Linked DNA regions of Arabidopsis thaliana. The protein of the gene in region 1 interacts with the protein of each later gene in a pairwise test. Each region holds a gene or a part of one and is shown in the gene's direction. Other genes may lie near its edges.

Region 1 (3,860 bases):
ATATTTTGGTAATAGGAGTACTTCATGCACAAGTCAACTGTTGTTTAAATAACATAAATCTTAGTTATAAATATTAAATAAAAAATAAAATACATAAATGGTGTCTTGGTAACAGGAACACTACATAAACATGTCAACTGATTTTAAATAACAAAATCTTAAAATAAATATTAAAATAAAAATGATAATACATGAATAGTGTCTTGGTAATAGGAGGAATACATAGAAAGATACACTGATTTTAAATAATAAAATATGAAATAAAAATACATAAATGATGTATTGGTAACATAAGCACTACATGCACATGTCAACTGATTTTAAATAACAAAAATGTTATGTTAAAACAAAAATAAAAATACATGAATGATGTCTTGGTAAGAGAAGGACTGCATGCATAGATCAACTGTTTTTAAATAACAGAAATCTTAACTCTAAATATTAAAACAAAAAGGAAAATACAGAAATAATGTCTTGATAATAGGAGCACTATATGCAAAGGTAAACATGTATTTTTTCTGCTTCCCTCCCATTCAAAGCCTTAATCAATGAAGTTTTGGCTAAAAGAATGATCTTTGACCGATGGAGTATTGTGTCGCTTGATGTGATCTTTTTACATTAGAATTGTGGTCATTTGTCTCAGGGAAAAGAGGAGCTATACAATATAACAAGAGGTCCTTCTTGAGGTGGTGAAGATCATAAAGAAGCACGGTTACGTTCCTTTTGTAATATTCCTTGGATCTCGAAATCGAGTACAAGTTCCTATCATGCTAATGGCGGAGATGGATGAAGGCATTTTACATTGTAATCTGTTCATTTAATTTGGATTGCTTTCATTGTTTCATTTGTTTGACATACATAGACACTAATAGTTGAGGATTATGTATTTACAACAATAAAGTGTTCCACTACACAAGGTACAATCGATATATATATAGTGTTAACTCTCATTTGTGTATATATGCATATCAGTTTGTAGGTGTTACTATGATAGTAGTACATTTATTAATTTATAAAAATTTATACGTAAAATACAATATTAATTTTTTAAAAAGAAAAATTTTAATTTAGTTTTTCTTTATGTTTTATTGTTTGTATATTCTGTTAGATTTTTTTTTATTACTTTTTTTATTTTTTCTCTGTAAGATATTGTGCATGTATACGACGTTAACGTGAGACTTAATCCAATTTTTTATTACACAAATCTTAACAATGATTTTTCATATAAAAAAAGTTACAAAACCAAATATGACGGATCAAATACGCAAAGAGTTATGTGAATACAAAAGAGATCACACCAACTATACTCTAGAAAGAGTTGCAATTATGACTTGAACAAAAGTTTCATATAAAATTAGTCTTTGAATGTATGCTAAAGATTTATGATTATTAATTTTATGATATTACTGGTACCATATTTTTACATAGGGATTTCAAAAAAAATATTATCTTATTATCTTATCGATTTTGGTTAATTTTTACATTACCCCGATTTGAGACCGACAAAATTTATTAATTTATCGTGTAATATGTTTTGTTCAAATACCTTTTAATATCTATTTAATAATAAAAAAATATTCAATCAGAAATGGATAATATATAATATAATTATTTACTTAAAATATATCAGCAATGAATCTTAAAATGTAGAAAAAACTAAATTTTAATTTATTATATAAAAAAGGTAGATAAAATATTTTATACTATTAAGTGACTAAAATGATAGATTTTTGCAAGAGCAAAATTGTACTATTGATGAATATTAAACAGTAGAAAAAAAGATGAAAGTGTTTGTTTTGTTATGAATGTTGAGAAAAGTATGGCCAAGTGTTACTCATCCTATTTTGCTTTTCTTTTTCTCTCGGGTTTCACTTTTTAAAGGTCGTGAAGATTGGGAATCACTGCTCTGCATGCGCCCTAGAATCAGCAAGTCTAAAGCAAGCAATAAGCATGGTGACTCCGAAGCAGATCGATTTCTCTTCCTGTGTTGGTGCTGATAACTCCAACGGTACCCTCTCCCATCGAAGATCTCCACGGAATATTCCTTCCTCAAAGCGTGCTGCTTCCGTCGCAGAAGAAGAGACTATGAAGAAGAAGATGAAGATGAAGAAGAAGAAGAAGAAATTGGATCCGCCGTTGATCGTCCGGATCTGGAACGAGGAAGATGAGCTCTCTATCTTAAAGGTATTGTATTGATCTTCTCCATTTATAGTTTGATTTGGTTTTGCATTGTGATTTTCTAAAACCAGATTTTCGAAATTGCTCAGGGGTTAGTTGATTACAGAGCTAAGACAGGATTCAATCCCAAAATTGATTGGGATGCGTTTTGTAGTTTCCTCGGAAGTTCTATCGTTGAGAGATTCTCCAAGGATCAGGTTTTGAGTAAAATCAGGAAGTTGAAAAGGAGGTTTCATGTTCACTCGGAGAAAATCAATCAAGGGAATGATCCCAAATTTACTAGGTCTAGTGATTCTGAAGCCTTTGGGTTTTCTTCGATGATTTGGGGACAAGGTGATGATGATGGTATGGATAAGGAGCACGAGGTAAACGGAAATGGTGCAGCGGAAAACCGGACTAACGAGAGCGGGGAGGAGATGTTGAAGGAGCACGAGGAGGAAGTGGCTAATACTGAACTTTTAAATGAGAATGGGGCAGCCAAAACAACAGAGAATGGGACTAGTAGTGGAAAAGAGAGACATGATGAGGACAATGATGATGATGATGAGTTATGCGCGGTGCAGGATGCATTTGAGGCGGTGATGTCGCAAGGTTTAAGTGGTTATCAAAAGAAGTTGCAGCTTGAGAAGCTGATGAACCTTGGAAATGGTAAAAGAAGAGAGTTGAGTGATGAATGGAAAGCGTTATGTGTTGAGGAAACAAGATTCAATATCAAGAAGCTTAGATTTTCCGCCAAGCTTGCAGAGGCAGCTAATGATAGTTAGATGAAACCAATATGCCCTTGTAGCATTTGGTGTTGTTTAGGTTCTTAGTAAGTCATAAGCTCTAGTCTGTTCAGTGTATTTATCTTTGGATCCTGTCTTTCTTCTACTTGGGCAAGTGTTTGTAAGATATTCCACTTTTTACTCAAGTATCCACAAGAGCCAATGTAGTAGAGTGGCTTGTGCAAGAGTCTAGAGTCTAGGGTTAATAATGTGCTTTAAGGCATGCTTGTGTGTGTGCCTAAGAGTGTAGTGAAGTAGTATAAGTAAGAGTGTGTGTGTGTCTTGTAATATTATCCAAGATATTAACAATGTAGAAGATTAAAAGAAAAATGGTTTTTGTTCTTACTCTCTAAGACAATGAAACCTTAAGAGTTATATCTTACCAAATAAAAGAGTCAAACATTGATTCATTTCAATATAGAGTTTCATTTGATTTCTAGCTTCACCTTGGAGCAGAACTTAAGGACGCAACTTGTTTCTTCTTCCCAAATCAGTTCCAACATGATGGATTCGTTTGCCTTCACATCGTTAGCTTGGATGAATCCTTGCCATCCTCCTACCATTCGTAGTCTTTTTCTTTTGTCGTCCTCGAACCGCAGAGTCGTTAACCACTTCACACCATGTTTATCCAACAGAGTCATTTTAGTTTCTTCATTGATACCATTCATCCTCGTGAAAGGAACCGGAAGACGCTGAAACATAGATTCACACAAAAGATTCTCATTCTATAGACTGTTAAAAGACAATGGCTTGGAATGATGAAACGTACCAGTAGAGAACTTTGGATTGTATAAGGTGTTAGAGTTAATGTCACAAATCGGTTTTCGGATAGTAAAGACTTTCTTCTTGAGATTTTCTCGTCGTGGATACTCTCTTCATCGCTTTCTTGCTCTGTCGAAAGAGAGACTACTTCATTAG
Region 2 (4,247 bases), on another chromosome or scaffold:
TAACAGAACTAAAAAGGATATGAGATGAATAGTTTTTATTTGCTAACTGAAGTGAACATACTTAATTGAGTAGGTTGACTGTTTTTCGCTTTGATTGGACTTTGAGTAGTCCTTTTCATGTTGTTTCCAACTGTAACTGGGTCAGATTTGGTAGTAGGAACTTTAGATATGCTCAGCTCCCTGCAACGTGATGTTGTTGTATGCACATTTGCAGGTCTTTTCAGGGTGCAAGATGGTTAAGGTAAACAAGCAAAAAGAACACAAACAAGACCTGCAAAGGATATCAAGATTGCCTATACACTCAGTACTCAAAGTAAGAAAAGGATATGAAGATGAAGGAGGAGGCCGGGGACAGCCACTGCGCTTGGAACCACTCCTTAAATCCTGAGCTGAGATAACTTTTTTCTGGGCCTATAATGCAGATATTCGACATTTAGATAGACTGCGCCTCAAAATATATATATTTACGCAAGGAAAGAAACGACTTATGACCCTCATTAGCTCCACAATATTTAGGTCCAGTAAACTCACCGAGGAAGATTGGGATTTAGATGGTGATCCGTACTTGGGCATTATGCCACTGACAAGCTTCTTCTCTCTGTTTTTACTATTCACAGGCAAGTCGTTAAATAAGTTTTCTTCAAGTGCTTGTAGTCCTGGTGAAACATTACATTTGGAAGCTGACATTGACTCTCTGTACTCTTCCTGAATGGCAGCTAACCGATCTCCACCAAGATGGCAAGCAGTTCCAGTTATTTTAGATAACTCAGATGAATCCAAAACACCTGGTTCATGACCATATCACACATCTTAAGATTCTTAGTAACATAGACCAAATCTTTGACCTTTACTACTAACAGGAAATTGGTAAAAAAAAGTCACCTTCTTCCGTTGAAAAAGCTCTATCCCATGCTAAACTCTTGCGCAAATTAAACCCTGCATTCTTTTTCTTCTTCTTCATCTGTTGTCGCTCCACACTCAATTTGGGCAATTCAACTTTAGCATTCTCCTTTCCTACACTATCTGTATCAACTGAAGCGCATGGCTGCTCCCTGTTGTTGCTGGTGCCTGTTACTCTTCCTGCAAAAAGTATTAACCTTCATATATCCGCAGAATACACAACATTTATACTAATTTGCTATTTTATCAAATTAAGATTTAAACAATGCTAATTCAGATGCTTAAACACTCTAACAAAGGGAGAGAGAAATTATCAGAACGAAGCTCGGATCGAGAACGAGAAATTGAAGCGCTTACCAATTGGGGAAAAAGGAGGCCGAGTAGGAACGATACGACTAGATCTAGGGATTTGGAGAGGTGAGCATTTCAAATAACTCTTTCCTCGGCTCGAATTAGTTTTCTTCGGCGTATTCTTCAGAAGCCAATTATCTTCGTCGTCTTCTCCAGAGATATCTAAGAGATCCTTATCCATTTCTAGCTTCTCTTTCGAGCCCAAGATCTGACGATTAGGAAATCCGGAATCCTATAGCTAGGTTTTTTCAAACTTACACTGAGAAAATCTCTTCGGAAGTTGTAGGCGAAAATCCTAGTCGGTAAATCGGAAATTGTTCGGCCGATGGAAGAGACGACTGTTGATAGAATATCCCGGCCTCGTAAGCGGGAAGAGGTTGAAAAACTTGAAATTGAAAGAAGATCGGACCAACGTTCTCTATAATCTCAGGTTATTATTGTCATTTAAAGCAAATCGATTGGGCCGGACTTTAAAGCCCATTTATTTGAATTTTAAATTCTCGTTCACCCTTTATTGGTTTGGTTTGGTTAGGATAATATTTTTTCGGTTTGATTAAAATCATATCGGTTCGGTTCATGGAGCATTGAAGTAAAAGTAGTTAGCACATGTTTTATTTTTCCATTTGTAGCAATAAGCCTAGAAGACAATACAGTCTCTGTGTTATGCTACAAAAGGCAAAATCTCTAAAGCAAACCAAAAGATCGGAGATCTATTAACAAAGCTCTTTTACTTTTCTATTTTCAAGAACCATTTTCACCTTCACTTTCACTAAAAGAGTTAGGGTTTCAAAGAGGTGAAGATGATGAACAGAGGTTTCTTCTTTAGACTCTTGTTTTTATGTTAAGATCTTTATGCTATTGTTTGTTCTTGATTCTCCAATCACATAACCTATCCTATGTTCTGATTTTTTTCTTGCTTTGGAACAGGAATTTCTGTGGATGATTGTCTTCCAAAGTTCTTCAAAGTGTACTTACCTGATGATTCCGGAGATGATTTGGTAAAAATACACTTCTCTCTCTGTTTTTGGTTATATGTAGATTTTTAGTTTATTGAAACTTTTAGATCCTTCCTCTTCAGGAATTACCCATCTCTTTCAACAGCTTTTTACCAAAGTCGTTGCCTAAAAATGTAATTGTTAGAAGCATTTATGGAAACATCTGGAAAGTGGCGTTTAGGAAGTTTTGTGGTGATAGTGAGAGATTTGTTATGGTTAATGGGTGGAAGAAGATAGTCAAGGACGAAGATTTGAAAGGTGGAGAGTTCTTAGAATTTGAGTTTGATGGCTCTTGGTGTTTCAATTTCTGTATCTATGGTCGTGCAACGTGTAAAAGGCTTAGAAGTTCAGTGCAAATCACGGTTCTTGATGACAATGATGATGGTTTTAATGATGATCAAGATTATGGGGAAGAAGTTAAATCTAGTGAAAATTTCATAGTTCTTGATGATGATGATATTAGTGATGTTCAAGATTATAATGAGGAAGATACATCTAGTGAAGATATTACAGCTCTTGATGATGCTGATAATGATGATATTAATGATGTTCAAGATTATGTTGAGGAAGATACATCTAGTGAAGATATCATAGTTATTGATGATGATGATGATGATGATGATCAAGATTATGGTGACGATGATCATGCTGATGTTGAGAAAGAAAGATGGAGAGGAGTCAAAACAGAGAAAAAAAAGAAAGGTATAATAGAAACTTTTGTCTTGTGAAGTTAACTGAGACTGAGAGCATCACTGTCTTTTTATTTTCTTGCGTATAAATTTTGATAGGTTCTTCTGGAGAGCATGACAGACAATATCTGGATAATCACATGAACCCTTTCTTTACAGTGAACCAGCATCGGCAAATAAAATATAATATGGTAAGAAATGTGAAGAAAGTCTCATGTCTTTTTGCATTTTCATTAAAATAATGTACCACTTCTGTTTTATGATGTTATCTTTGTAATGCAGCTGCGCATACCAACTAAGGTCATAACGAAGTATGGCTTACACTTCCCTGAGTTCATCAATTTGATTGATCCACTCGAGAAAAACTTTGGTAAATTGAAGAGGAAAGTTAAGGGTCAAACAATCAAGGGATTCCGTAGTATAATCAGAAGGAATAATGTGAAGTTGAATGACAAGGTGATTTGTGAGTTAGAAAAGGAGATGGATGGTCTTGTTCGAGAAATCAAGGTCCATGTTATAAGAGGATGATCTCTTGATAAGGCTTTATGCGTTAACTCCAAGACATTATCTATTTTTACTTGAGAGTTTTTATATGAGTAGAGTACTTGGTTTTATGAATCTTATTGGTTTTCTCGGAACATAATCGATGTTGATGCTTTCTATACACTTCTTGATTTTGTTTGTTTGTCTGAAACATGAAGTGCAAAAGACGATCAACACAGTCTTACAATAATAATGTATACTAGAGCTATAGATTTTGGGAGAAATCATTATGAATGGTTCACACATCAGGGCTGTTTAAAACCTGCGAGTTCATGTAAAAAGAATGTTATTACTCTCTATGTGATCATAAGAAAAGCATTGGCATAGGAGGAGAATAATACTAAGATACTTGGAACTCTGCCACTTAACACTATCTCATTCTTCTTTCAAGTTTCAAGTTTCTTGTTCAAGAATTGAGATGTCACAAGTCCTTCTTTCTCTAATATACCCTTCTCGACTCTTTACTGTGGTTCTTTTGTTTAAGGACGATAATGTCATTTACACGATATAGATTGAACCAAACTTAAGGCCCATTTCTTGTTTTTTGTTTGGGCCTTAGCGATACCTTGGTCCGCTTAACGAATTATTTTTGAATAAGAAGAGTACTATTAATGGTTTGTTTTCCATTTGAAGGAAAAAGCATCGAAACAGAGAGAACCCTCTGTTTTTGCAAGTTTTTGCTACAAAAGGCCAACACCTTTAGATCAAATCACATCTGGAAAAACTTGGATCTGGAGAAACTTTGTTCACCTTTTTATTTCCGATCAAA
Region 3 (4,572 bases), on another chromosome or scaffold:
TTCAGTCCCTAATCCTGAGGTGAGGATTTCATTTTTACAATCTCATTGGTGGCTATATGCATTGTCTCACTATGGTTTCACTGGTTTTGCAGGTAGATTTGATCGCACCTGCAGTGGATGGTACGCTGAATGTGCTTAAGGCATGCGTTGAAGCAAAAGTTAAGCGTGTTGTGTATGTTTCCTCTGTATCTGCAGTTGCTATGAACCCTATGTGGTCAAAGAGTCAAGTGTTAGATGAGACCGCTTGGTCTGACCAAGATTATTGCAAAAAAACTGAGGTTAATAATGCATCTTGAATCCCTCATCTCACTTTTTTTTCTTCTTTTAAATCTGACTTTCGTCCCTCTGGCAGAATTGGTATTCTTTGTCAAAGACACGAGCAGAAAGTGAAGCTTTCGAATTTGCAAAACGAACCGGACTTGATCTCGTCAGTGTTTGCCCTACCCTTGTCTTGGGACCTGTATTGCAGCAGCACACAGTAAATGCTAGTAGCCTTGTTCTTCTCAAGCTTCTTAAAGGTATTATAAACAAGCCTCTCATTTCATCTGGGATTGTTAGAAGCAGCAACTTGGTATATGAGTTGGTATTGATTTTATACTTAAGTGTGGTGCAGAGGGTTATGAATCGCGTAATAACCAAGAACGGCATTTGGTAGATGTGCGTGATGTGGCTCAAGCTTTACTTTTGGTTTATGAGAAAGCAGAAGCTGAAGGAAGGTACATCTGCATAGGCCACACGGTTAGGGAACAAGAAGTCGCTGAGAAGCTGAAAAGTCTTTATCTAAATTACAACTACCCAAAGAGGTAAGCAAACAACAGCTGCACATCTCTCTACCCAATTTGAGTGAAAACCTTTAAACCTTAATAAGCTGTTTTTGTTACTTTCATCAGTAAACAGTGTCACTTACCTTTACATCAATGTCTCTGAAGTTTCTTTTAGACCTTACCTTTGATCTAAATTCTACTTATCCAATATCAGATACATCGAAGCGGATGGAAAAGTGAAGGTGAGTTCAGAGAAGTTGCAGAAGTTGGGTTGGACTTACCGGCCGTTGGAGGAAACACTTGTGGATTCTGTTGAGAGCTACCGCAAAGCTAAGCTTGTGGACTGAAAACTGGGAACGAATAGCATATGAGTGTTTTGGGTCCATGTGTTAAGTGTTCCTATCTGCACACGCTCTTTCATCTTTTACTCAAGAATAAGAGTTGTGCAACATATTTTCCATCATGAACTTCTGAGTTTTTGTTACTTTCTTAGACACCATTACTTTTATGACCAATCTACAATTACTCCTTCCATAACTATGTTCCAATATCTCTTTGATACGTTCCAATTTCTACCTACTTACAAAGGATAACTTCACCATTAATACATGAAATCAGTAACGCACAACTTCACCATTCGAATTAACCTCTAAGCCTAGCGTAGCAGATGCACTACATCTTGGCTGACCATGGGACTAAAAAAACATTCGCAATATTTAACAACTAAAGCCAGGTTAATGGACCTGTATTAGGGCCCAAACCAGGCCCGTTTAGATATCCGACTTTTTTTTTAACTTTGCCCATCTCGATAGCTAGATTCTCTTTTCCCTCTTCCTTCTCCGGCGAAGTTGCGTTAGTTAAACAGAGAGTCATGGCCATGAAAGCTCCCGATCCCGGCGGATCTGGGGAAATTCTCCCGAGCACTCCCTCTCTTTCCGAAACTACGTCTGGAGGCGCCGCAGCAGCTTCTAAGTCGGCTCAATTGCCGTCTTCTTCTTCCGATATCGATAATATTCACGTACCTAGCTACTCCAGTAAGTCTGCAACGCCGAGAAAACTTTGATTTATTCTACTTTCTTCACTGTTTCTTACGGATTTTGTACTTGTACCGTCTATTTAACCAATTAGGTTGGTTTTCATGGACCGACATTAACGATTGCGAGGTCCGGTCACTGCCGGAATTTTTCGATTCGAGATCTTCATCCAAAAACCCTAAGTTTTATCTCTACTTGAGGAACTCGATTATTAAGCAGTACAGAGACGACCATCCTCGGAAGATTAGTTTCACTGACGTTCGGAGAACTCTCGTCAGTGATGTTGTCTCTATTCGTCGCGTCTTTGATTTCCTCGATTCATGGGGACTTATCAACTATAATAGCTCCGCCTCTGCTAAGCCGCTCAAGTGGGAAGAAAAAGAGGCCGGAAAATCCGCCGGAGATGCTGCTTCTGAGCCAGCCACAACTGTCAAAGAAACTGCCAAGAGAAACTGCAATGGCTGCAAAGCAATTTGCAGCATAGCTTGTTTCGCCTGTGATAAGGTTTGATTTCATAATTTGTAGCCATAGTAATAATTTCATTCACTGAGTTTGTCACTTAGAATGATTATGTACATTTTTGTTTTCAGTATGACTTGACATTGTGTGCGAGGTGCTATGTTCGTAGTAATTATCGTGTTGGTATTAACTCCTCGGAGTTTAAACGAGTTGAGATTAGTGAGGAGTCAAAGCCAGAGTGGTCTGATAAGGAAATTCTGCTGCTGCTGGAAGCTGTTATGCACTATGGAGATGATTGGAAGAAGGTTGCATCGCATGTTATTGGTAGAACGGAGAAGGATTGTGTTTCTCAGTTTGTCAAGCTTCCGTTTGGGGAACAGTTTGTAAAAGAGTCTGACTCTGAGGATGGTTTAGAGATGTTTGATCAGATCAAGGACTCTGATATTCCTGAATCTGAAGGAATAGATAAAGACGGTTCTTCTCCCAACAAGCGGATCAAATTAACACCTCTTGCAGATGCAAGCAACCCAATAATGGCTCAGGTTAGAAAGACACTACAATTTGAGTAGTTGCGTTCTCTCTCTATGTTAATCTTATTTGTATAAGTCTTCAACATGCGTGGAAATGCTTTTACATTGTTAGGCTACTGAAGAATAGTCCAGTGTCTGCACTAGGCTGTTCCACGACTTGCGTTTTTGTCTCCTTAAAGAACCTAAATCTAGAATACCTTGTGGGGCTTACTTTGAAATCTAGTAATAACAAACCCTAGTTGACATATATAAGGCATTTAAGAATCAAATATGTGTTAGATAATTCTGTACTGTGTTATCACACCTCAATTGTTATGCTTCATTGGCTGTCTCTGAATAAGATTTATCCTATCATGTCCTCTTCAGGCTGCTTTTCTTTCAGCTTTGGCTGGCACAAATGTTGCAGAAGCAGCAGCTCGAGCGGCAGTGAGAGCTTTATCTGATGTAGACTACGAGGCTGACAAAAACGCCAGTAGAGACCCAAATCGACAAGGTATCAAAGACCAAGCTGTCTCTATTTGCAGTCCATTTCTGTCCTAAGCCAAACCCAATAGTGACAGTTTTGTTTTCCTGATACACAGATGCCAATGCTGCATCGAGTGGTGAAACCACTAGAAACGAATCTGAAAGAGCTTGGGCAGATGCAAAGTCTTTAATTGAGAAGGAAGAGCATGAGGTAGAAGGAGCAATCAAAGAGACTGTTGAAGTTGAGGTTAGTAACAATCTGCAACTTTCCATAGACTTTTTATTATATGGTTATACTCAATGATGATTTATGTTGGAACAAACAAAATTTGGGATTAACAGATGAAGAAGATCCGAGATAGGATTGTTCATTTCGAGAAATTGGATTTGGAAATGGAGAGAAGCCGGAAACAATTGGAGGAGGTGAGGAATCTGCTTTTCGTTGATCAATTAAACATTTTCTTCCACACCAGAAAAGCCCGGAAAACTGAAGATAGAATAGAGTGTTAGAACGCACTTAATTTGAAACTGTTATTTCTTATTTGATTCTTGTCTGGTTAAGAAGATGACTTGTATTGTAGTGTACTTGAGATGTGTTGGTAACAAAATGAGATGAGATCGAATTGGTATAAATAAGGCTGGGTTGGTATAAAAGTCAAAACCAAATGGCAACTGCGTCGAAGTATAATTTTTGTCTTTATCAGGCAATCACAAGTGGAAAAGTTTTAAAAATTAATTTTGCTCTTTTGGAAACAATAGAAAATGTCAGGGTTTTGGAGATATCCGATATAAAAGATAGATTTTGTTTTCACTAAATAGGTTAATCTTCAAATGTTGTTAAGTTACCGATGTTTTTTTTGTATCTCCGTAACATGATTACTCTCTTTGTTGCTAAAAGAGTGATGGTTTTTATATTAAGAAACAGTCATTAATTAATCATTTCTGTATTGTTTGTTATATTAAACATTTTCAATAACTATAAACCAATAGCAGTCTAACAAATTTCAATCATTTTATCTTGAACTTTACTAGTTCAGGTTTTTCAGACAAACTAAAAAAACATTGAATTTTCTGTTTTATCTCTAATTAATGTGTTATTTAATATCATATCATCAATTAATCAGCCAAAACAATAAGAATTTCTTTTGGAAAATCTTTCAAAAACATGCATTGAAAATATAAAACGATAACTAATTTAATACAAAATTTAATTTCTAAAACATAACTAATTTAGAAAGGAGTGAGTGATATTTAAAAAAAATAAAGAAAAAACGAAAATGTTTTTTTTGTGGGACAAGTTAAAAGTGGTAGAACATCAAT

What was found. Proteins that work in one complex are often made in the same cells at the same time.
Region 2: the proteins of AT4G00270 (region 1) and AT5G60142 interact in binary tests that used the Arabidopsis thaliana proteins (3 or more experiments, as listed by UniProt).
Region 3: the proteins of AT4G00270 (region 1) and SWI3B interact in binary tests that used the Arabidopsis thaliana proteins (3 or more experiments, as listed by UniProt).

The regions. Positions count from the first base shown.
Region 1 is NC_003075.7:116,559-120,418, reverse strand, and holds AT4G00270 (DNA-binding storekeeper protein-related transcriptional regulator), read left to right. Parts: upstream 1-1,775; 5' UTR 1,776-1,950; coding exon 1,951-2,184; intron 2,185-2,267; coding exon 2,268-2,942; 3' UTR 2,943-3,334; downstream 3,335-3,860. Other genes in the region: MEE45 (Transcriptional factor B3 family protein), read right to left, coding at 3,368-3,667, 3,712-3,860. UniProt on the Arabidopsis thaliana protein: DNA-binding protein, which specifically recognizes the GL1 enhancer sequence. May be involved in leaf initiation. May play redundant roles with GPL1 and GPL2 in cytokinin responses by regulating the transcript levels of type-A ARR response genes.
Region 2 is NC_003076.8:24,215,396-24,219,642, reverse strand, and holds AT5G60142 (AP2/B3-like transcriptional factor family protein), read left to right. Parts: upstream 1-1,893; 5' UTR 1,894-2,051; coding exon 2,052-2,064; intron 2,065-2,178; coding exon 2,179-2,249; intron 2,250-2,290; exon of another isoform or gene 2,291-2,329; coding exon 2,330-2,948; coding exon of another isoform or gene 2,949-2,974; exon of another isoform or gene 2,975-3,034; coding exon 3,035-3,126; intron 3,127-3,217; coding exon 3,218-3,463; 3' UTR 3,464-3,696; downstream 3,697-4,247. Other genes in the region: AT5G60150 (uncharacterized protein), read right to left, coding at 62-225, 329-411, 532-785, 883-1,080, 1,258-1,432.
Region 3 is NC_003071.7:14,227,388-14,231,959, forward strand, and holds SWI3B (switch subunit 3), read left to right. Parts: upstream 1-1,584; 5' UTR 1,585-1,635; coding exon 1,636-1,798; intron 1,799-1,892; coding exon 1,893-2,302; intron 2,303-2,388; coding exon 2,389-2,799; intron 2,800-3,153; coding exon 3,154-3,280; intron 3,281-3,368; coding exon 3,369-3,499; intron 3,500-3,594; coding exon 3,595-3,762; 3' UTR 3,763-4,021; downstream 4,022-4,572. Other genes in the region: CRL2 (NAD(P)-binding Rossmann-fold superfamily protein), read left to right, coding at 1-19, 93-278, 353-518, 614-803, 979-1,111. UniProt on the Arabidopsis thaliana protein: Component of a multiprotein complex equivalent of the SWI/SNF complex, an ATP-dependent chromatin-remodeling complex, which is required for the positive and negative regulation of gene expression of a large number of genes.